2 linked regions of the Bombyx mori genome follow. The protein of the gene in region 1 interacts with the protein of each later gene in a biochemical or structural test. Links are inferred from orthologs where the notes say so. Each region holds a gene or a part of one and is shown in the gene's direction. Other genes may lie near its edges.

Region 1 (12,350 bases):
GTTTTTAAAAACTGCTATTATTTTAAACCCAAGACAAATTTACACACTTATGACTAAGAAATAAAAGGATCCCTCGAATTAAAAACCTTTCTAACTATTTCTTTCGTGAAGCAGTAATTCGTCTCCGTTTGAAGTTTTGGGGCAGCCGTTACAGAGACCTAATTAGAACTTATATCTCGAGGTAGGTGGCGGCATTTATATTGTAGATAGCTGACCCGGCAGACTTCGTAGTGCCTCAATCGATAAATAAAAGACCTAAACTTTTGTATAAAATAAACTTAAAACAAACAAAAGGAATCCGTCCGACGGAGGACACATCAAAGGGAACACAAAATTGTTATTTTTATTTAATTCCGAGCATTTTCATATGTATCTACCTTTTAAACCTTCTCTGGACTTCTACAAATAATTCAAGACCAAAATTAGCCAAATCGGTCGAGCCGTTCTCGAGTTTTAGCGAGACTAACGAACAGCAATTCATTTTTATATATATAGATGTCTATGGGCTCCGGTAACCACTTAACATCAGGTGGGCCGTGAGTTCGTCCACCCGCCTAAGCAATAAAAAATAAATAAAAAATACAAATGAATATGCTATCCCGCGATTGTGGTGAATTCTGTTTTTCGTTTCCAGAGTAATCTTAAAGCGACACAAACAATAAACCCCAATGTTCTCTGTCAAAAATGATATCAAAGCACGAAAAAAATAATCACAAAATATGTACATACAATTCGGAGATTGTAACAAAATCAATTGATTGCAGTAATGAAAAGTGAACTCACGGGGTTATCGTTTTTATTACATATATGTACATGTTTTTAACGCATGGCTCTTGACTGTTAGTGTAAATATTATGTATTGTTATTTTGACGTTAGCAACATTAATCATATTTTTATGTGTGGCGTGTTTTGATCCATCTGAAGTCTCATAGTAAGGAATAAGACACCCTCTGTACTCGCATTACGGGTTCAAATTTTGGGAAAAGGTATATTTTCTTGACAAATACGTACCTTATGCGTATATACGTTCGCGAAAGCGTTTGAAATTAAAGAGAATAAGATTGTGTGATTAAAATCAAGCCTACTTAAATTACCAATTTTGTTTGTACTACATAATAATATTAATATTATGTATTTAGTTACAATACGATTATAAATCCACACGGGCTTGTGGTTAGTTTGAAATAGGAGGGTTTTTTACAGTCTGGAAGATATTACCGGATATCCGGTTATTTTACAGTACATTCATATACGGCTTAGATTCCTCAATAGATACGATGTATCCAAACAGCATTTGTATTAAAATTGTAGTATCTAGTGTACATTAGGTATATAATAAACAGAAATATTAATAATTATATACTGTTTATAATTAAGAGAGCCTATGGCTGTACCTTATATATAAGCTACCCATTCTCTAAAAATCACCCACATAACTGTAAAACTATTGTTATAGACTCGACACTAGCAACAATGGTATAGTAAGAAGCTGATAGCATTTCTTGAAAAAAAAAGAACAAAGAGGGTCATCATTTTAAAACTAAAAATTAGGTTGGATGGGCTAAGACCCATTTGCCTGTCCGAGTGGACAACAAAAATAAATTTTATTTCGTGGTCGCAGAAAAGGCGCGAATTTCTAATATTTTAACTAAATAGAAGGGTTGTTTTTTATGAAGAAAATACGTAAGGAATAAAGTGTTAAACATGAACGTAGTACACAGGGAAATAACAACTGGTAAAAACAAAACACGAACCAACTTTACAGCAGATTTTGCAAGAAGAGACGCATCCTTGGGTTAGCACTTTTATTTATTTTTGTTAATCTGCTATCGAAACCGAGATGGTGAAATAAAGTTTTAGATTGACTGTAAAATAGAATCGCAACGAACCATAATGCCATACTGAAAAAAGATGAAGGTAAAGATACCACCTTACATAAAAAACACATTAGAACGTATTCATTCGCGGACATCTAAATTATCGATTCTATTTTTCGACACGTTTTTATCCTTTTTTTATAATACTGCGTCTATAGCTGCAGTAGTTAATAAATGAAACTTATGAAACTCAATCTATCTTATGGTGAATAAGTTCGTTCTGTCTATTACTTGTTCAGTGAGGGCAAAAAGAAATTCGTAGAAAGATAGGAGAGAAGGGTACACAGATTTTTCTATCCGTGATTCATTACCCTTGCGACAGGGCCGAAATATCGAGTACCCTATAAATATCCGCAGTATAAACGGTCGACTTGGATAAAATACATGAGGTAGTAGTTACTTAGTAGTTTTAACAATGCCGTGTCAGATGCGTTGGTCAATAGGGCCCGCGTGGACCGGCTCACACTCGGAATTCCTTTTAATCTCTGGTAGTAGGACCTCTTCTGAGTCCGCGTGGGTAGGTACCACCGCCCTGCCTGTTTCTGCCGTGAAGCAGTAATGCGTTTCGGTCTGAAGGGTAGGGCAGCCGTTGTAACTATACTGAGAACTTAGAACTTATATCTCAAGATGGGTGGCGCATTTACGTTGTAGATGTCTATGGGCTCCAGTAACCACTTAACACTAGGTGGGCTGTGCGCTCGTCCATCAATCTAAGCAATAAAAAAAAGAAAAAAAACGCGGCATATTTTCCGTTCTTTTGCATATTTGTTTCTAGGTTACAACCGCGTCGAGAATTACTCCAATTCTTAAGGTGTCTAGGTTTAACTGAGAAATTGTATTAAAAACAATCGAAAGTCTCAACATTAAATAATAAAGTGATACCTACAATTTTAGTACCTACGTTTGTAAAAACACTCTGTCTGCCTCTAGTCTTTATTGAATCCTGTAAGTTTATTTTTAATTCCGTGTGACCATTACGCTAAAGACGGAAACTTCACACTTTAACCTTTATTAGTAGATAACAAGAACATTTTGTAGGTATACGCGGTACTTCCCTACTGCCAGTGTCCTCATACTGTAGTGCAAGTAAAAATACGATGAAAGGTCCTAGGTATCAATTCGATGCTGCCGTGAAAACTTCAACCAAACGGTCATCTATGGGACCTCCTTCAAGGCCTCCGCCTAGTTCCAAAAAAAGGTACCTTAAAATTATTGATTATGCCATAGACATTTGACAAATTCTAAAAGCGCTCTATAGAAAAAAAACATTCGCCAGGCTACCTATTTATATTTTTATAGTAGCCATATAATTAATTATAAAAACTACAATATCTATTTATCCATACTAATATTATTAATGTGAAAGTGCCTAGTGGTCGAAATTCGACTATAATTAATTTCAAATATAAGTTTGTACATTGTTAGGGTTCTATTGTCAATAAACTTGTTTTCACAAATTTGGCCAAGGCTACACTATAGACAAATTATATTATTCTGTTTTCAATTCGACCACAGACTAACAATAAACAAAAGAGTATTTATGTATGCGTCAAATACATACATGGTAGCGTATGTAATGTTTTTCTTATTGATTTAATGTATGTTTATGTATAATTTTAAAAAGTTATTAGCATTCTGCATTCCTTCTCTATATAAACTATGAGGGTGGGAAATTTCATACTCCTCTGTCCGCGCAATTTTCGTAAAAAGGGGTACAAAGTTTTTGCTTCACGTATTAATATATTATTATAGATAACCAGTTATAATTCTTGTTTAGTACTTATGTGTTGTTCACGTACCTACATACATATTTAAATCATAATTAAGTAGGTCATCAGAAATCCTTTAAATAACAACTATCTCGCACTTCAGAAATGTCTACATGCTTGCCTTGTGCTAATAACTCATGAGTATTTTTTGGATTCGATTCTATTGGACTATAATATATTCTACCATCGTCTACCACAGTGAAGACCATTAGTGTACTTCATATAATGGTATACGACATTGGTCTACAAAAATGGGTTTTGTTCCAAAATCGAAATAACACTTGATTGCACGACTGTACAAACTTTTCAGCTCAGATTAAAACTTTATAGATTAATAAGCTCGATCTCGTCAAGACTAGAGTCGTCTTCAAGCGGAAGACAGATGCCCGCAGTACTAGCTAACGATTCCACCGCTGATACTTCCAACGACATGCGCACACCCAGGAATCGGCCAACCGCCTTGAGATACATAAGCAGTAGTAGTAGAGGTAATTGTTTTTAATGTTGTAGTAGTAAAAAAAATGTTAACATTTTCAAAGTTCCTAAACTAATTTATTCAGTACAAAATTTTGTCTTCAAATAGTTTCAAAAACAGCTTTCTTCCATAACTCACGAGCGATTTAAGAAGTATGTAGGTAATAGAATGACGTTGATGAAGTCGTCGTGGTCTAAAGGATAAGACGTCCGGTGCAATCGTATCTAGCGATGCAACGCTGTTCGAATCCCACAAGCGGGTACCAATTTTTCTAATGAAATATGTACTTAACAATTTATGTTCACGATTGACTTCCACAGCGAAGGCATAACATTGTGTAACAAAAATCAAACCCGCAAAATTATATAGGTAATTTGCGTAATTACTGGTGGTAGGACCTATTGTGAGTCCGCACGGGTAGGTACCACCGCCCTGGCTATTTCTGCCTTAGAACCCATGTCCCAATGTGGGTGACGCATTTACATTGTAGATGTCTATGGGCTCCAGTAACCACTTAACACCAAGGTGGGCTGTGAGCTCGTTCACCCATCTAAGCAATAAAAATATATAGAATATGGCATGGAATACATATGGAATATTCTAATAGTGGTTATGGAATATTGTTATAGAAACCACATTTAAAGCCTTTATTTTTCACAAATAATTTTACACAGTATTCTTGAGTTAAATAAAACTGAACTCGTATTTTTTCTCAATGACAGAGAGTTTAGTCAATCTATATAAGAAAGATCCTTTTTTTTTAAACTAAAAAGGTTTTAATAAAAATTACATAAAAAAGGTTTTTCTTTGCATGCATTTTTTTTTTAAATTAGATTAAATATTATATACTTGGTATGGATTGGAAGAGGCCTATGTCCAGCAGTGGACGACTGTGGGCTAATAGTGATGATGATTATATAATTCTAACTGACTCGGTGGTGCAGTAGTTAGCGCGTCTGACTATTGCGCCGGGGCTCGTGGGTTCGATTCCCACATCGGGCAAGCAAACATTAAAATCAAATCAAATCAAATAAAAAAAAATATTCAACATAAATGAAAGTACATACTTGTTGAACGTCAAAAAGAACTACCGCCAATTCACAAAAACCAGCCTCCGTCCTGAGAAGAACTGGCAAGAAACTCAGCGGGCATGTCTCTTTTCTTCTTTTTTTTTAATATTAGTTTTTTATTATTATTAATTTTTACAATGAGTATTATAACATAACAATTATTGCAATATTGAAATGCCCGGAGCGAATTCCCATCACGAACAGTTTTATTTGCTCTTTGTCTGGGTGTTTATTATCTATATACATATGTATTTAAAAGTAGTCATAGTATGTATGTTTGTCTCTGGTACCCATAACACAAGGAATCCTAATTTGGGGCCGGACGGCCGTGCGTGTTTTGTCCTCAGTTATTTTTTTTTTTTTTTTTTTTTTTATTGCCCTTGTAGGCAGACGAGCATACGGCCCACCTGATGGTGAGTGGTTACCGTTGCCCATGGACTTCAGCAATGCCAGGGGCAGAGCCAAGCCGCTGCCTACCGCTTAATACTCTCCACAAGCCTCGTTTGAAGAAGGACATGTCATAGCGCTCGGGAAACACCGTGGAGGGGAGCTCATTCCATAGCCGGATGGTACGTGGCAAAAAAGATCTCTGGAAACGCACTGTGGATGACCGCAGTGGCTCCAGGTAGTACGGATGAACTCTACTCCGGTGGCGGGCGGTGCGATGGTAAAAACGAGATGCCGGTATCATCTCGAACAATTCCTCAGAGCACTCCCCATGGAACATACGGTACAAAATACAGAGAGAACCGAAGTCCCTCCGCAGACCCAGAGGTTCCAAACGATCCGTGACATTGGGATTATCGACAATCCGAACGGCCCTCCTCTGTATGGAGTCAAATGGAAGAAGCTGGTATTTGGGAGCCCCGGCCCAGAGATGGGAGCAGTACTCCACGCGAGGCCGGACTTGTGCTTTATAAAGCAGAAGCCTTTGTCCAGGCGTGAAGTACCGCTTCGCTCTGTTGAGGACTCCCAGCATTTTGGACGCCAACTTGGCTTTGCCTTCCAAATGACTCCGAAACTGGACATCGCTCGAAATGTCGACCCCAAGTATCCCAATACTCTCGGAAGGTTGCAGGGATACTCCTTGGAATTGCGGCGCCATGACAAAGGGGTCCTTCTTCGCAGTGAACGCGCAAACTTGTGTCTTTAACGGGTTGAATTGAACCAAGTTCAATTCACCCCATTTGGAGACTCGCCCCAGAGAGTTCTCCACTTCAGACACAAGTTTTGATCGTCTCTCTTGCACCACGCTTCGAGAGAGACTCTGATGGCCGATATATCGCGCATCCCCCGTGCTGTCATCCGCATAGCAATGCATGCCATCAATAGACAGCATGTCATTGATATACAGTTATTATTATATTAATTATTATGTATTTGTTTCATCAATTATGTATCAAACTTTAGCTTGGTTTTAGGTGGTTATAGCGGCGCCAGATCGGGCAGATCAACGAGCGTGTCCGCAGTAGAAGCTAGTGTTATTTTAGGTAAAAAATAATAAAAAATATGATTGACACAATAATCTTGAGAAAATTGTCTTTTTCAAATATACATCTTATTATTTTGCCTCGTCTTATTTTCCGTACGCTTAATTTTTTTTACGCAATGTAAAATATTATTAAAATCTACATATCAATATTATTTAGAAATATGAACGTGTTTTGTTTAGCTATATCGGAAGGCAGAGGAATGGCCCGCGGGGAAATAGGAATGGCAGCCGTCGATCTAAAACATCCACATCTAGTACTGTGTCAATTTAGTGACACGCTCTTATACACTCACACACTAACAAAAATAAACTACTTCAATCCAGTTGAGGTAATGTAATAACTAACGCAGCTCGTGGGTACATGTATGTATATCTATACTAATACTAGCTGTACTCGTCCGCTTCGCTGGGCATTTAAAATTAACATTATTATTTCTCACCCCCACAAACATTCTCATCATTGACGCCCCCGCAACTGGTGTAGGGAGTCATATAAATATTAGCCTATATATTAATCTACAGTAGTTTTTACGAATGTTCCGTTTATAACTACTGAACCATGCATCCAATTGACTTGAAACTTGGTATCCATGTAGAAAATACATGTACTTAATGGATAGGAATAATGACAATAAATAATAATGTTAATTTTAAATGCCCACCGAAGCGGGCGAGCACGGCTAGTCATTAATAGGTATAACGCTCGCTCAATTATCACGCAACATTACAGATAATTGTGCCGCACACATTCTGCGAGGGCGTGAAACCGAATCAACTTTATCAATTGATAAAAGACCAGTTCCCTTTGTGTACCCTAACGACGGTACAAAGGAGGCATTTCAATGATTCAGCAGGCCGTCAGAACATACAGACGCTTTGCGCACCGCAATACAGCGGGGCTTATCTCCAAGTACTGCATAAGTCCGTTCAAATAATAAAAAAAAAACAAATAATCGATTAGAATTTTTGTGTTCGCAATTTTAAAAAAAAGCGTAATTTTTATTTAAGATTTTACGCACTAACCGCTGCAGCAGCGGTGCTGAAATATGTAGAACACATCCAATGTATAGTTTTCGCAAGAGAATCTCTCAAAGTCGATTATCATTCGTCAGAAAACACTATGATTATTGGTAAAGAAACAACTTTGCTTAATAAAGTATTCAGGGAAAAACTTAAAATGATTAACGATATCTTTAGACGTAGGTACGGCAACGCAACTGGAATTAGTTCAGCCTTTAGTTCCTTCGGCTGGACCAATGTGTTGTCTTCTTGGTGTGCTTGGCCCGACTTATACTGTTGGAGGGATTAGGGCATTGAGGGCTTCTATCTTGCAACCGTCTTGCAATAAACAATTAATTGAATCAAAACTAGATGTTCTTCAAGATTTAATTGAAAATGACAATGGTTTGATGGCTGATTTACAGGTGGGGAATGTGACTATTGTCGATCAATATTGCTGTTTGTCGCTCACCTTATGTTAATAGCTGAACGTATTTCAGGACATTTTGAAAAGGCTATCAGATATTGATAAAATATTATTCTTGTGCGTTGAGCATAATATTCAAAATGCTGACAAATTAGGAGAGGCGCAGCTCAATCAAGTGTTAATTCTAAAAACGACAATGAATATGGTACCAAAACTAGTTGAAGCTTTGAATCGTGCCGAAAGTGGTCTGTTAAGACAATTTAAAACGGTCAGGTTTGCTGTTTAAGCAATTTTCGTTTTTCAATTACTCAATAAATTAGGTCCGTTTTCATTTATCCAAATGTTTCTTATCCAGGATTTCGAAAATCCACATTACAATGAAATTGCCGAACGCATAAAAAATATCATACAAGACGACGCGCATTTCGAGAAGGGTGTTATGGGAAATCTCCAAAGATGTTTTGCAGTCAAGCCCGACATTAACGGACTCCTTGATGTGGCCAGAAGGACGTATTCTGAATTAATAGATGACATACAGAAAATTGTCGAACAGCTCAGCGAGACATACGACCTGCCTCTGCGGCTAAACCAAAACGTTATGAAAGGATTCCACATAGTTTTACCTATAGCTCCAAAAAACAGACGCAATTTCAGTATTGAAGATCTGCCCCCAATTTTCATACAGGTAAGTAGGTACGTGACATACGTGAAACTTGACAAGGAAGGCAGGTAGGCCAATGATCGAATGAATCCTCGAAGGCTCCGTCGGCCGGGCGTCCTTGGGGTGAGCTGCGTCGCCTGGTTGTAGTTTTGACCGCGGTAACCCCCTTACCTCCGGGTCCTGACCTCGGAGGGGATCGGACGCTTGGGCGAAGAGTGCAAGGGAGTCGTTTAGTGGATAGGGCTCTGAAAACATCCTTGGGCCCGCGGTTTCGCAGTCGCGGACCAGGCCCACATACCCCGCGCGCCCTCTAGGCGCGGGGACCTCGTAGGAGGTTCGGTCCCGGCCCGAATAAAAAGAAAAAGAAGAAAGGTAGGCCAATGATTTCAATGTTTTATGTCGGGAAAATCGAGATACAATTAAAATATTAATAAATAAATAAGAAAATCAAAATGAAACCTTAAAAATAAATCTAATTACACATATTTTAAGTTTCATATTTAGGTACACAACAACGGAGCCAGCGTATCGATGTCGACTGAAGAACTTGTAGTTCTCGATCAACAGGCAAAGGAATCTTTGAATGAAATACAAAGAATGAGTAACATGTTAGTTTAATATTTTTTTAAATATAACCGATTCCGGTCACTAAATATCTGTTTTTTTCTTAAACTAAAACATGTTCGACAAGTTTTATTTCCTAAATACGACATTTCCAGAGTTATCGACGCATTATTGAAAGACTTAAGGCCATACATGTCGAGTCTGTACAAATTATGCGAGAACGTTGCTGAAATTGACATCCTCCTGGCATTAGCACAGGTTCGGATTGTACATATTTTAATGGAACAAAAGCATTATAACTCGTACCTCTTAACTTCTTATATGTTCCAGGCTAGCATGGTAGGGTCGTATATCAGACCGGAATTTAACAGCTATTTAGAAATAAGAAACAGCGTCCATCCGTTATTGGATTATAACAGTCACGTGATGCCAGTTCCAAATGACATAGTAAGAAACGCGCGAAATAAAATCATAGAATTGAAAACTTCTTTTTTCACGTTCATCAATTATTTATAGAGTATCTCTTTTACTTTTATAGAATGCCAGCCCAGAATACAATTTCACTATAATCACCGGTCCGAATATGGGCGGCAAAAGTGTTTATATAAAACAGATTGCTATTATGCATGTTATGGCGCAAGTGAGTTTCCAATAATTTAGCTATCATAACTTCATGAATGACCAATTTAATAAATGTTTCGATTGAGAATAGCATACATTAAAATGATTTATCGATGTTTTGAAATAAAAAGAAAATATTGCCAGAAGAGCATAATAATATGGTCCACCTGATGGTGAGTGGTTACTGTCACTCATGGACGTCAACAATTCTAGGCCACTGCCTACCAATTAAAAACAGAGTATATCCTATTTATTTTACACTAGTAATCTCGAATTTCTTTTAGGCTTCGAATTTGTTGCTTGATTGCATTAAGTAAAATTCTGTACTAAAAGGATATAAATAATAGTTTAAAAAAAACTAAAAAACACGCTTTTATAAAAAATCCGATTCAAAAATGAACTAATTGTAAAAAGCGTGAGGTGCTTTTTGAGATATTACGAACATACATACTAACCTTCGTATGAATTTAATAAAAGCGTATTAAAATAAGTTGAAAGCGTTCTAATTTAATTAAATCAATTTTTATTTTTTTTATTGCTTATGTGTGTGGACGAGCTCACAGCCCACCTGGTATTAAGTGGTTACTGGAGCCCATAGACATCTACAACGTAAATGCGCCACACACCTTGAGATATAAGATCTAAGGTCTCAGTATAGTTACAACGGCTGCCTCACCCTTCAAACCGAAACGCATTACTGCTTCACGGCAGAAATAGGCAGGGCGGTGGTACCCGTGCGAACTCACAAGAGACCCTACCACCAGTAGTGTACCATTGCCTAATTATATATTGTAACGTTATAACTGCTTTTAAATTACTAAGCAGATTGGTTGTTTCTTGCCCGCTACTAATGCTGTACTGCGACTTAGTGACAGAATATTTTCGAGAATCGGTTTCAACGACAGCGTTGAGTTGAACGCTTCTACTTTTGTTTTCGAGGTAATATTTCTCATTACATTTAAAGTAAAGTGTGACTTTTAAAGTATTTATTGGATACATGTATCTGAAAATTTCGAACACAAAAACTATACGTAATTGTTAGCAATTTTTCACATCTGTGTGCTCAGTGCGAGTTTTTTTATCTTCTCGATCGCGTAAAAGAAAGCTAATTAAGATTTGTGTGGAGTTCGAACAACGCCCCTGGCGGCAAACTAAGGGAAGCTGTTCCAACTCAGAGAATATTTAATAACATTAATATAAATTAAACTAGTATTTCTATGACAGATGAAAGAGATGCAGCATATTTTAAAAGGACTGACGCCATCAAGCCTGGTCATAATAGACGAACTCTGTCGGTCAGTACCTATTTAAAGACATTATTGAAAAAATTATGTATAAAATTTCCTTTCTATGTAAATATATAATATGGAATATTTATCCAGCGGTACAACATACGAAGAGGGAGTCAGTATAGCTTGGGCGATCTGTGAAGAATTAATATTATCTGACGCTTTCACGTTCTTCACAACACACTTTTTATATTTGACGAAATTGCAACACCTTTACTACAACGTGGTCAAGTATGTAGTACGCTCTAAGCAAAAACTAACAAGAAAAAAATAATCACATTAACAATTGTCATTTTATTGTTTCTAAACAAAAATTAGACTCGCAACCGCAAGTTTATCATTTTTATTTGATTCTTTTAATATTTTTTGGTGTGTTAAAAATTGTTTTTCAAATTTGCATTAAAAATGTGTGTAGGCTAAAAAGTCATTTCGTTTTAACGATAACTTATCATCATACACGCGATATGAATCCCATCTTGTAATATAATGTCGATAACTGGGGTAAATTGGAATAAAATTCAGAGTTATTTGATATTTTAACTAACGATTTAAATTTTAAGGCAATTTTTACTTTATTGCTTACGACGATACGTATAATTTTGTAGTCGCCATACTACTGTTAAGGAAGAAAACGTTGATGAACTGAACGATTCTCATAAAAAACTGATTTATGAACATAAAATAGAATTAGGAGTTACGAATATAAAAAACTATGGATTGGCTTTGGCAGCAAAAACAAATTTACCAGAAGACACCGTAAAACTTGCATTTGAACTAGCAGAACTTATGACCATTGATGAAGAGGTTAAGTATTATACATAAATAAGAATATTAATATAAATAAATTATTTGTAAGATTTTTCTCGAAGATATTCATTTATGATGTCATCGGTACACCCCCTTCCCGACTACAGCGATTGGCTTTCTATTTTACTAGTCCAAGTTTTATGGCATGCTCTTATGTGGAAAATATGGAAAATTATAGAGATATAGTCAAAGTTTATTTAATAAACAACAAGCATCATAACAGGAAAACTTTTTCAGAAGAAACTCCCACATGGTAGACAGACTGTAATGCTAATGGTATAATTTTATTAAGCATAGA
Region 2 (12,350 bases), on another chromosome or scaffold:
CCCACGCGGCAACCCTCACACAGGATGGACCACACGCTCGTGATGGTATCATTTAATATAATTGAAGCCATGAGTGGATGAAGGGAATATGATACAATTTCTTAATTTTGAGAAAACGGGCAACAAACTTTTGTCACTTGTACTTTTTCTTCGTACACAACTCCATCACATGCAATCTCTAAAAATAGCCTTTAAACCTCGAGTCTTAAGGTCTAATATGGTTTATAGGCACATAATATCGTCATTCAATGTAAAAACTCAATAATCTTAAAAATGGTACTCAACCCTTCATCCACTCATGTCTTCAATTATGCTCTATAAAAATACCTTATGTTCTCTCTAGTATAAAGTTCATTTATCTGTCCCTGATTCTTAAACTTATAAAAGTGTGACTAGATTCATTGGTAATATTTCATTTTTACGGCAATAATGATATTTCTTACAAAAAATAATCTATATAGCTTATGATCGCATCTTCCTCTCGCTGTAAGTAGTACGTGTACGTTGTCTACAGTCCGGTGTGCTTAGTGTGAGTTTTTTTACGTTCTCGATAGCGTAAACGTTAACTCAAATTCGTATGCAGTTGAAACGGCACCCCTAGCGGCCAACGTCCCAACTGCGTACAAATTTGAGTTAACTTTTACACTATCGAGAACGTTAAAAAACTCGCACTAAGCACACTGTTCACTCTTGCAACAAAACAACCACTCGTCTCGGTTTGAATTGATTCTTTGGCTTCACAACTAGACATCTGGGCCACAACTTCACATTGGCTTACGAATTTCGAGTGATCGCTGAAACCGAGGAAGACGAGAGATCAATTAAACATCTTTTACTATTAATGCGATACTGTATGAATGGGTATACGTTTGTTACTTAATCACACAAAAACTAAGTTGTACTGTAAATCTGAGACTTAGAATTCATGTCTCAATGGCAATGTAGTCTCATGTACGGCATTTACATTTATTGTCTATGGGCTCCGGTAACCACCTAACACCAGGTGGGCTGTAAGCTAGTCTATCCATCAAAGCAAAAAAAAAGAAACAAACATAATTTGATGAAATAATCGCATAAATATATCTTAAAGTAAATCTGACAGTTCTGGTTCGTGAGTTTTCGTACCCATAAATCTACTCTTTTTTTTTTTGTTGCCCTTGTAGGCAGACGAGCATACGGTCCACCTGATGGTGAGTGGTTACCGTCGCCCATGGACTTCAGCAATGCCAGGGGCAGAACCAAGCCGCTGCCTACAAATCACTACTCATCGGCTGGTAGTTGTTGACCCAGCGGGCGACACAACTCTCTATCCCGGGACAACGCAGCGAATGCTAACCTTTCAAAATTACCGACAGAACGCGGGTGAAACCGCCTGGTACGTCTAGTGTTTAAATAGAATAATCTATATAGTGCTGTAATGTTTACTGCATAGTTAGGTACGTTGCTTTCAGTTTCAGAACAACGAGTTCGTTCACTACAAAAGTAAGGGTTGCGAAGGTATGTATGTATGTATGTAGTATCTGTAACATTTAGTTTCTTGTTTTAATTTTTTTTTTTATAAATAATTAACTTGTCAGAACTAGACGTGATGATCGGCGACACGTACCCCGAGATAGTAGCTCATGAGACCCGCATCATGATGAGGCTGACTGCAGTACTGCTTGAGCACCTCCACACCCTGGCTAGCGTTATCGATAACTGTGCAATGCTAGATTGGTTAGTTTATCGATACTTAATGTGGTCACTTTTAATCGTTTACAAAGATATTTCTGATACAAGAGCTTCTTTTTTATAACATAGATGTTTTTGCCCGGTGTTACTGGTGTTATCGGAGCCCATACATATCTCAACGTGCATGACGCCACTCACCTTGACACATGAGGTGGAAATCGAACTGTCAGACTCTTTCAGAGGCACTGGGGTAGCTGTTAGCAAATCTCATTCTTCCTGGCGGAACTAGAAATGCCTTTGTGTGTTCAATAACCTCCTCCATCCTATAAAATAAAAACCTTAATTTTCTGAACCATAGAGAGGACGTATCTATTCTGAAAATGAATGAATATTGGGAAATTATGTTTTTGTACAAGTCGAATAACACGTCCCAAAATCATAATAACAGCACTACATTTTATATAAATAAGCCGTAGTTTATTTTTAAACGCTATCTTCCTCGTAAATTTTATAAAATCAATATAAAGTTCCACTGAATTGTCCCAGTCTCATAGCAATATCGAAAACTAGTAAAGAGTTCGGCTACACCCAGCCCACTCTAGTCGAGACTAAGTCGATCAGTATCAAGCAAGGGAAGCACCCCTTACACATGACCACGTGCGAGGCCTTCGTACCCAACGACTTCGAGAGCAACGAACAAGTTGGCTGCGTTAAAATCCTGACCGGCCCTAACTCTAGTGGAAAATCTGTTTATATGAAGCAGATAGGTAAGTGACGCCTTCAGCTCTAACACTCTCCTCCTCCTCGCATCGTTTCCTCACTGCTGAGGGTCGTGACCATTATAATTCGACATAATTTTACTCCTTGTGATGTCCCGCCAGCTCCTCCGATCATTGGCCGCATGAAGGGCGTCGTGGAATGGGATCTCTAGTGTGGTGCGGATTTGGTCGAACCACCTTGTCGGACCAGCTCTAACACTAGGAGCAGGCTTAGGGACCCCGGAAACCGTACTCGTCGAACTCGACAAAAAGTTTGACATGCAACCTAACCCATGAATCAGCTCGCTGAGTTTCTCGCCGGATCTTCTCAATAGGTCGCGATTCTGATCCGGTAGTAGATTCATTCGCGAAGCAGCTGCTCTTGAGTTGTTAGGTTTCCTTCGGAGGCGCTCGGACAGCTGTTAGCAAATCCCACCCCTCCTGGCTGAGCTATTGCTCGCCCACCTGTCCTGGTGAAACTGGAAAGGCCTCCGGGCCACCACTAATCCTTCAATCCTAAAAAAAATAGAATATTCATGCGGGTGCTTAGTGTTGGGTAAAGTCACCGTCGTTGTCTGCCGCGAAATTAGATCTCTCTTAGGTTTAGATTTGGTCTCGTATCTTGAAGAGCATAACTTCAACACAATCATGTCTTAAAATAGGTCGACAGTTAAATTGAGTTTCATGTGATGCTAAGATTATTTCATCAAGTAAAGGACATCATGTGCATCTATCATCATCATCATCAGTCTACATATGTCCACAGCTGGACATAGGTACCCCTCATGATTCGCCCCAATGATCGGTTCTGCTTTACACGAGATCCAACGGCCACATTCTACGTGAGATGTGCCCTGTTCTGCCATTGCCAATTCAAAATCGGCATCTTTTGTGTTAGGTATATCGGTTATCATGGTTTTCCTGTGTATCTCTTCATTCCTGAACCGATCGCGTAAGGAAACTCCGTGCGCCTTTTCTATTGCACTTTGGGTGACTTTGTGACTTCTGATAATAGATGCGATTATAGAAATAGCTTAACTTGAACTCGCAACTGACCTGTGGCAGATGTGACTCTTAGAAGTAAGCATAAATAATTTTCATAATATGTCGCTTACATTCCACCACACGGGCAGTTCACAGTATCAAAAGTTCGGTAGGGTGAAGATACGAAACTACTAAAACCTAATATACTAATTTCATTCCTCAGGCAATCAGCCAATTGACCAGGAGCATAGTTGTTAAAACATTATTAATATCTCCAGGTCTGATAGTGTATTTAGCTCACATCGGTAGCTTCGTGCCGGCTGACTCGGCTGTCATAGGCATCGTGAGTCACATATTCACAAGGATGCAGTCAACTGAATGCATCGCAGCGCACATGTCAGCTTTCCTAATAGATTTGAGACAGGTTATTACTAGCATTGTTAGTAGTATTGTACTTGTAATATTAGTAGTATTGTACTAGTATTAGATTACTTAGAATTGAATACGTACATAATTCTAATGGTTAAAGATCAGCCAATATATACAAATATTGACATCGAAAAAGTTGCAGAGAACTTTCTAGAATATTTTTTCTTTGTTACATATGTAACTAAAGACGTAGATAAGTTATTTGCAATTTTGCTTGTATGCAATGGTTGAAGACGTCAGCCTCCAAGTGACGAAAATAGCACATACGTGTACTGTCATTGATTGTCTAAACGTTTAAATATAATTATTTAGTGCTTTCACTTATAACTCAGTGATATCTATCTGATGTCAAGTGATATCTGGAATAGGAGTGGGTGATATAAATCGTATATAGATTCAATATCTATATATCGCAGCAATATCGTTGAATCCGATATCGCCCCGCACGAAATCTATATATCGATATCAGCCGATACACGATATTGCTCGATGTGATGTGCATCGCCATATTGTACCGATTCGTGAATCGAAATCTATATTTCGATATCAGCCGATACACGATATTGCTCGATGTGATGCGCATCGCCATATCGTACCGATTCGTTAATATCAGCAATATTCGTTTGGTTCGTATCGAATCGGCCAGAGTGAGTGAGCGCACGATAGGGATATCATGTGATGAATGAAACAGAAACAGGCATTATCCATACAATTGTAAACCTTATATTTAAGTCCATATGTCTGTAGATTATTCTTAGTGTATCAGCAGGATACAATTAAGGAAAGAAGTTTCAACTTTCGACCCTAACTTGAATGCAGTATAACCTATTTGCATCGTTGAATTTAATTTCACGCGCTTTGACCTTGAACTAGAATTTTTGGACAAGTGTTTATAAATACTTAAAAGTTTTAGGGTTTGATTTTTAAAGTACACATTTTTCTATTTTTAGTTGAATCCAAATAATTGAGTTTATTTCTTGTGTTTGTATTAAACTTTTGAAATCTACACTCTTTTGGTATATTTTGTAATTTTAAATTAAGACACAAAATACTAAAAACTGAAAATAATGTAGCCAGTCCTAAGCCTGGTAAAAGCATGAAGGAAAGTTTTTTTGATATTTTTATTTTCATGTTCTTTTTATTACTTTAAGATCATATTATAAATTGATATCAGAAAACCAACCGTATAACGTTGACTTAAATCTATATCTACTACGATATTATATCAGCGTATCGTTTCAAATCTCAAATATCATGAATCGAGAAAATCTACTAGCATCCATCAATATATAGATTCAGAAAATATATAGATTCAATATCCGATATTGATCCTCGATATATAGATACGATTCGATACGCGGCAAAACCGATATTACCCACTCCTAATCTGGAAACCATTGACATCACAATGTTAATGCCGCTATTGAACTAGATACATGAGCTTTAAGTCTAAATTGTATAGTTTAAAGGCTGTTTCAAACTTCAAATAGAAAAGCTTTGTGGCAGAAATAGATCGGATGCCGGTTTTTTTCTTTTTTTTTATGGGTGATAGGCTTAGATGGGTGGACGAGCTCACAGCCCACCTCGTGTAAGTCTTTACTGGAGCCCATAGACATCCACAACGTAAATGCGCCATCCACCTTGAAATATAAGTTCTAAGATCTCAGTATAGTTACAACGGCTGCTACGCCCTTCAAACCGAAACGCATCACTGCTTCACGGCAGAAATAGGCAGAGTGGTGGTACCTACCCGCGCGGACTCACAAGTGGTCCTACCACCAGTAAATAGATCGGGTGCCGGTATCAAAACACAGGCACCGAAAGTTAGGAGCATTTCAGATGGCTCTGGTTCTACAAGAGTCGACGAGTAGCAGCCTGGTGCTGGTGGACGAGTTCGGCAAAGGCACAGCGCGGCGCGACGGGGCGGCCCTGCTGGCGGCCGCGCTGGGCGCCGTGCTGGCTCGCGCGCGCCGCCCGCACGTGCTGCTCGCCACGCACTTCCTGCAGCTGCACCACTACATCGCTCCCTCGCCACTACTCACGTTCTTGGTAATATTGACAACGCCATTCTTATAGAACATTTTTTATTATATTCTATTTTAATAACCTAACAACCAAGTTCACAGTTCAGGCTATGTAAAGCGGTACCACGACCTTTTTTTTGGTCACGAGGAAATCACCGGACTTCCGCATTCCACTAGAGATGAAGGGCGGGGTATGTCAGAGACAAACTGACTAAAACCTCTAGTCGCTCAACAACACACGTCCGAACCTCGCAAGAACTCATGAAAAGGCAGACCAGTGGTCGTCGACCACTAGCCCTCTCGGTCGGTAGGCTATCCGAAGCCCGTCTAGATGGCGGTTTGCTAGAATTTGCTAAAATGAGAATACCCCGCTAGGTCAGAACCAGCGTGGGTCGATTATAGCCGGCCTTTCATGACCCATGCTCTTGCGGAAAACGCGTGCAGAGCAGTTTGCACGTCATCTTCTTAGGTGCTTTTCGCCGATCCCCAGACCGCTATGTGATAGGACTCGAAACACTTAGAGGGCCAGGGTTTGGGCCAGCTTCGCCTCCTTGGCCCCCGCTCGACAGTAGCGGGATTATGCATCTTTCAAGCGCCCCGCCGCCACCTTCTGCGAGATGATGCACTCGCAGAAGTCGAGCACCGCCTTCCGTGAATCGTCGCCGCCGAACATTAGTGCTCGGCAAGGACAAGTCGTTTCCTATTTTTGCGGCGAGGTTACGGCGCCACCCCTCCCATGCGGGGCAGACGATGAGCGTGGGCTCCGCCGTGTCCAAGTCGCAACCACAATGGTGGCACTCTGCCATCGGCTCGGCTCCGATCCGGTGCAGGAACTCACCGAAGCAACCATGCCCAGTGAGCACCTGCGTGAGCCGGAAAGTGAGGCGTTTCGACGATTCACCCAATTTACAAGGACCAAGCGAATCGCCTCGACGGTCCTACGACCAGCCGAAGGATCGGCCAGCCGCCTAGACCAGGACCCCAGCACGGACCGCCGAAATTGGGCCCTCCGTGAACTGACCACACTGGGGTTGCGGTTCGTCACCACATGTCTACTTAAGACTGAGACTTCAATTCGTTTGGAATAGGAACAAGTGTCGTAGGTACCCCTCTAAGACAAGTGATACTTTGCGGTAGAAATTGTAGTATATTGAATATTTGAAATATTGAAGGTAAATGTGAAACCGCAGATAAATACGTTTGTTGCGTCAGACATTCGATCACGTAATGCGCGACGGCTCCCCCGTGTTCTTGTACCGCGCGCGGACGGGCGTCGCCGGCGCCGGGCTGGCGCGCCACGCCGCCGCCGGGCTGGGCGCACCCGCGCTGCGCCGCGCCGACCTACTGGCGCGCTGTCTGCAGGTCATCCACTGCACCATACATTATACACTTAATATATGAGACACTGCACCCTCAGACGGCTCCTGATAAATACTATAGACAAATTCATAAACATCTCCTGTACTTTGAAATCGATGTATTTCGCTTAACGAAAAAATACATATGATTAAACTTTTCAAAATCTTAAAAAAATCCAAATCATGCCAAATAAAGTATTGATGTGCCTTTGGAAAACATACAGCATTGTATTATGAAGAAGCAGTGTGTACTTAGCTTAGATTCCTTGTCTATGTCCAACCATAGACAGTCAATTTAGTTCCATCCTTAGCCGCTAGGTGCTGCCAGCAAGTATAAAGGGAGCGCAGCCATCTTTGATCTTCATAGCGTTGTGTACTTTCGTACTGTGAAGTCGCAAGTCCACTAATATTTATTCGACTTCTTATTAATTGCAAAAAATATTTATTTTGTGTTTCTATGAGTGTTATTTTGCAATCATTACGAGTATTATTTACCAATCCTATCATCGGACGCCATGAATCACGCGTCATCTGTTGGAGGTGATGTTGAGTCAAGCTCCATAATTTCCGAGAGGGAAGATGTCCAGGCGAGACGCGATGGAGACGCCTCGCGTTCGAACAGCTCGTCAAGCGAAAAAGAACAAAAGGAGTCTCTGCGTAAGAAACGACGGGATTCAAAGGTAACGGTCGATCTTCGAATCGGCTCGTTATCCCACCAGGTCAGTGACGTTGTAAATCTAATAATGCATCAACTGTGTGTAACAATTGAATGTAACGAAAATTGTTGTAAACAAATTGATCTCGTCAATACGGAAATTTTGACAAAAACACAACAGATTTAAACTAATAATCTTTGTAACATAATTACTGAAAACTTTGACAAATCGTCTCCGTCGTACAAGTTACCCGTAAAAAGCGTTTTAAATTGTATACGGAAAAAAGGGCCGTATGTATAGAAATAAGACGTCAAAGTTTAATTTCCGTGGTCTCTAACAAAGTATCCTGTTGCCAACGCACCACTCATTGAGGAATTTTTGTTTGATAATAGTAAATTGAAATCTATTCAGTCCCTCGGAGGGCTACAATCCTATTTGTCACGATCTCGTACAAAAGGTAAGCCAAACATTATAAACAATCATAGTCCGTAACATCTGGCACAATCCAGAGGGGGGCAATTGAAGACACCGACGGGAGGCACTGAGTGCCACCAAAATTGTAATAATTTGTAAACCATGTATGGTTACCAAATACCGTAAAAAAAAAACAAAAAAAAAATTTTCTGCGGAAGAAAAGCGACGGATCAATGCGTCCAACTGTTTTTCGGACACCTAGGTACCAAACTTTCTCCACCCAGGGGACTGGATGATAGAATTGAACATTTCTCAGGAATATTTTTCTAGTATCAGTCGCAAAATTTCGTCGATACTTCTTGAGGATCAGTACCAAGGTACCAGTATCAGTACCTCCAGGAAGGAATCGGTACCTTCTTATGAGTTAGTATGAAATGACATGCCTACCCTTCGATCTGGCTTCAGAGCCACACCTTTTTGCTTCTATAACATGCGGGTCGCAGAGACCTTGCGTGCAAAGGGAACTCGAGTGCTAGTGTCTACTAGACGACTTCCTTTTTGGTCGACCAAGACAAATCCAAGTTGAAACTTCAGGCTGCAGAAGCTGCGAAGCTTTTGGATTAACCTTTTTTGCTTCCATAACATGCTGGGTCGCAGAGACCTTGCGTGCAAAAGGAACTCGAGTGCTAGTCTACCTAGACGACTTCCTTTTGGTCGACCAAAACAAATCCAAGTTGAAACTTCAGGCTGCAGAAGCTGTGAAGGTTTTGGATTATCTGGGCTGGCATGTCAATTTCCATTATATAGGGTGCTCGGTCGCTCGGTCGCTCGGTCGCGGAGATATTGCGTGCAAAATCGAGTGCTAGCTTACCTACACGACTTAATCTTGTTTCACCAAGACAAATAAACGTTTTTGTTCCCATAGCATGCTCGGTCGCGGAGACCTTGCGTACATAGGGAAGTCAAATGTTAACGTACCTACGCGACTTTCTCTTGGTCCTTGAAGACAAATACACCTTTTTGCTTCCACAGCATGCTCGGTCGCAGAGGCATTGCGTGCAAAATCGAAGTGCTAGCTTACTTACACGACATGATCTTGTTTCACCAAGACAAATAAACGTTTTTGCTCCCATAGCATGCTCGGTCGCGAAGACCTTACGTACATAGGGAAGTCAAATGTTAACCTACCTACGCGACTTTTTCTTGGTCCATGAAGACAAATACACCTTTTTTGCTTGCATAGCATGCTCGGTCGCGGAAACATTGCGTGCAAAGGGATGTTGAGTGTTATCCCACCTACGCAAATCCCACCAGGTCCATCAAAAGAAGTCCAAGTTGAGTCTCCAGGCCACATAAGCTGTAAAACTCTTGGATTATTTGGGCTGCCAAGTCAGCCTTACAAAAAATCAATTAGTACACTGGTTCAAGAGATGACATGTCTAGGGATTCGATGGAAAATTGCGAGAAATGAAGTGGCCACTCAACAACATCCTAGCTCAAACTCTGACGGAATTACATCAATCTATGCTAACTTGCAAATTTTCTTGCGAAGTTTCAAGAAAAGGGGTTACAAATGCAGTGCTGACGCGGAGCCACATGTCAAACATTGCCGAGACCCAAAACCAACCATTTCCTGGCAACGGAAGCTTCGGACATGGGTAGGGGTTACAATTAGACAAAATATTAACGTCCTGTCTATGGTCAGCTCAACAACAGAAACGGCTCACCCACAAAAGAGCTATTTGTAATGGTAGTGACAATCAAAATGAATCTGAAAGTATTTCACTAACGTTGACCTTTCGATTTTTAAACCTAAGCGATAAGTTCAAGATAACTGTCAGCTTATCTCTCGGGGAGATACAACATCATAGCCGACAGGCTATCACGAGGAAATCAACCTGCGAAATGGCACTTTTTACCACAAGTGACCACAAAAGTTTTTCGAAAGTGGGGTCATCCGGATATAAACCCATTCGCCGACCAAGATTAGATACCTTCAGCAGACCGTAGAGGATGCAACTAGCATGGAGAATTCCTCCTCTCAACCTTCTCCCCAAAGTACTGACTCACTTCAACAGTGTCTAGGGAACCTACCTGGTAGTGTTCCCAGACTGAGCGAAAGCATTTGGGTTTCCAAGCCCTCAGATCCCGAACGCTAGATAACTCGCACGAAATCCAAAACCTGCCTCCTCCACAGGTTAAACATTAACCCTGAAAGCTTAGAAAGGGGGGGGGGGGTTGTACAAATAATAGACTGGTCTAAACAGGAGAAGATTTATTGAAAATTAGCTGGTGTCAATCCACTTTGTCAGCATACTTACCAGCAACTAGAAGATGGTGCATATGGTGCATATGGTGCTACAGTTTTAAAATTGATCCTAAGTCTGCAGATGTTGCCAAATTCTTTCTTCTTTTCCAAAAAGAAAATTTTGCCTATAAAACAATCCTTCTGCATCATAAAGCAGCGCTGTCGACTTTCTGTGGGCGAAATACATGTAGGACAGCAAACATTCTCAAGCTCTCTAATAAAAATTGCTATTTTAAAAAAGCCATCGGAATAGCTAAACAAAATTCAACTACTTATTACAATTTTACTAAGTGTAGTCCCATTCACATGAGATCCGAGAATAGTTCTAAACTGGTTTTCTTCAAACCCAGCCACCACATCACGCCTCAATGTAGCTTGAAGGACACCAACAACCATGTTGCTGGCTACGGGACGCAGAGTTAATGACCTTACTTTGCTCAACATTTCTAAAGACAGTTTCTTTGATAACAGAGAAAAACATCTTTCTGATACCAGTCTTTGGGTCTAAAATTGAAATCCATTTTTGTCAATAATCTGCATAAGTGCTTTCTAAACATGAAACTAAAGACATGCCCGGTAAGATTCGTAAGGACTTTTTTGTAACTATGTGTGTTGTCACAAAAGCGGCATCCCGTACTGTAATTGGAAACTGGTCTTCGTTCAACCTTACGAGGTAATGGCATCAACGCATCTCTAAGAAGTTGTAGATCAGCAGTAGCCTCTGAGATGGATTGATAATGAACCAATGGACGAAATATTTCTAGAGGCAATTGCAAATCATCCAAACGTTTACAATAATTATTGCCGAATAATAGAGCTTCGTAAAGATCCTCACGATTCTTTTTTCTCAACACATTTACTTCTACATGATGTATATACATCATTTATACAATTTATACATTTTCTTGTATATACAAGATAAAATGTTTATTACAAACTTATAAATATTTTTTAATTATTGAATTAACATGGAAGTTAACAACTGTTTTTTCGATTTAATAATTATATAAATTATGAACATTATCATTGCGCTTCATAATTTTATTATGGCTTTACCTATTTCATCATAGCGTTGTGCTTAATAATTTCACCAGCAGATAACAAACACGTCTTCATAATACAATGCTGTATGTTTTCCAAAGGCACATCAATATTACGGTTTTACATAACAATAAAACCGATATTATGTGCCGAGAAGGAAAACATACAGCATTGCAGGAAGTTCTTCCTGGTGAAGACTATGAAGATCAAAGATGGCTGCGCTCCCTTTATACTTGCTGGCAGCACCTAGCGGCTAAGGATGGAACTAAATTGACTGTCTATGGTTGGACATAGACAAGGAATCTAAGCTAAGTACACACTGCTTCTTCATAATACAATGCTGTATGTTTTCCTTCTCGGCACATAATATCGGTTTTATTGTTATGTAAAACCGTAATATTTTCGTGTACTTTATTATTCACATAAAGTATAGAGTACAATTACCTGAAATAACGTACAATAATTTATTATGAAGTACGGGTGGCAACCCTATTATTTATAGTTAACATTTTCAAACCCTACACACAATTTTTCAAACCCTTTCCCCGCTGTATAATCTCAAATGATATTGTGATTCTATCTTCAGTTTACGAAACCTAAAAATATGCATTGGCAATAAAAACATCTATTAAGGCGGTAGCTATCTTTGATACAAAACTTGGACTACTACCAAAACCAAAGAGTGGCGAATCATTCCATCAATATTT

The links.
Region 2: the proteins of mutS protein homolog 4 (region 1) and mutS protein homolog 5 form a complex in vitro, tested with the Homo sapiens proteins (2 studies listed by BioGRID). The link is inferred for Bombyx mori from reciprocal best matches to the Homo sapiens genes MSH4 and MSH5.

The regions. Positions count from the first base shown.
Region 1 is NC_085114.1:12,566,506-12,578,855, forward strand, and holds the start of mutS protein homolog 4, read left to right. Parts: upstream 1-1,475; 5' UTR 1,476-1,705; coding exon 1,706-1,796; intron 1,797-2,916; coding exon 2,917-3,076; intron 3,077-3,977; coding exon 3,978-4,135; intron 4,136-6,613; coding exon 6,614-6,682; intron 6,683-6,864; coding exon 6,865-7,013; intron 7,014-7,414; coding exon 7,415-7,605; intron 7,606-7,692; coding exon 7,693-7,814; intron 7,815-7,881; coding exon 7,882-8,108; intron 8,109-8,183; coding exon 8,184-8,378; intron 8,379-8,465; coding exon 8,466-8,795; intron 8,796-9,275; coding exon 9,276-9,379; intron 9,380-9,490; coding exon 9,491-9,593; intron 9,594-9,665; coding exon 9,666-9,782; intron 9,783-9,873; coding exon 9,874-9,975; intron 9,976-10,781; coding exon 10,782-10,895; intron 10,896-11,180; coding exon 11,181-11,251; intron 11,252-11,338; coding exon 11,339-11,476; intron 11,477-11,850; coding exon 11,851-12,049; intron 12,050-12,350. UniProt on the Homo sapiens protein: Involved in meiotic recombination. Required for reciprocal recombination and proper segregation of homologous chromosomes at meiosis.
Region 2 is NC_085111.1:1,004,401-1,016,750, forward strand, and holds part of mutS protein homolog 5, read left to right. Parts: intron 1-1,451; coding exon 1,452-1,497; intron 1,498-1,577; coding exon 1,578-1,716; intron 1,717-2,217; coding exon 2,218-2,438; intron 2,439-3,691; coding exon 3,692-3,837; intron 3,838-5,681; coding exon 5,682-5,891; intron 5,892-7,078; coding exon 7,079-7,228; intron 7,229-12,350.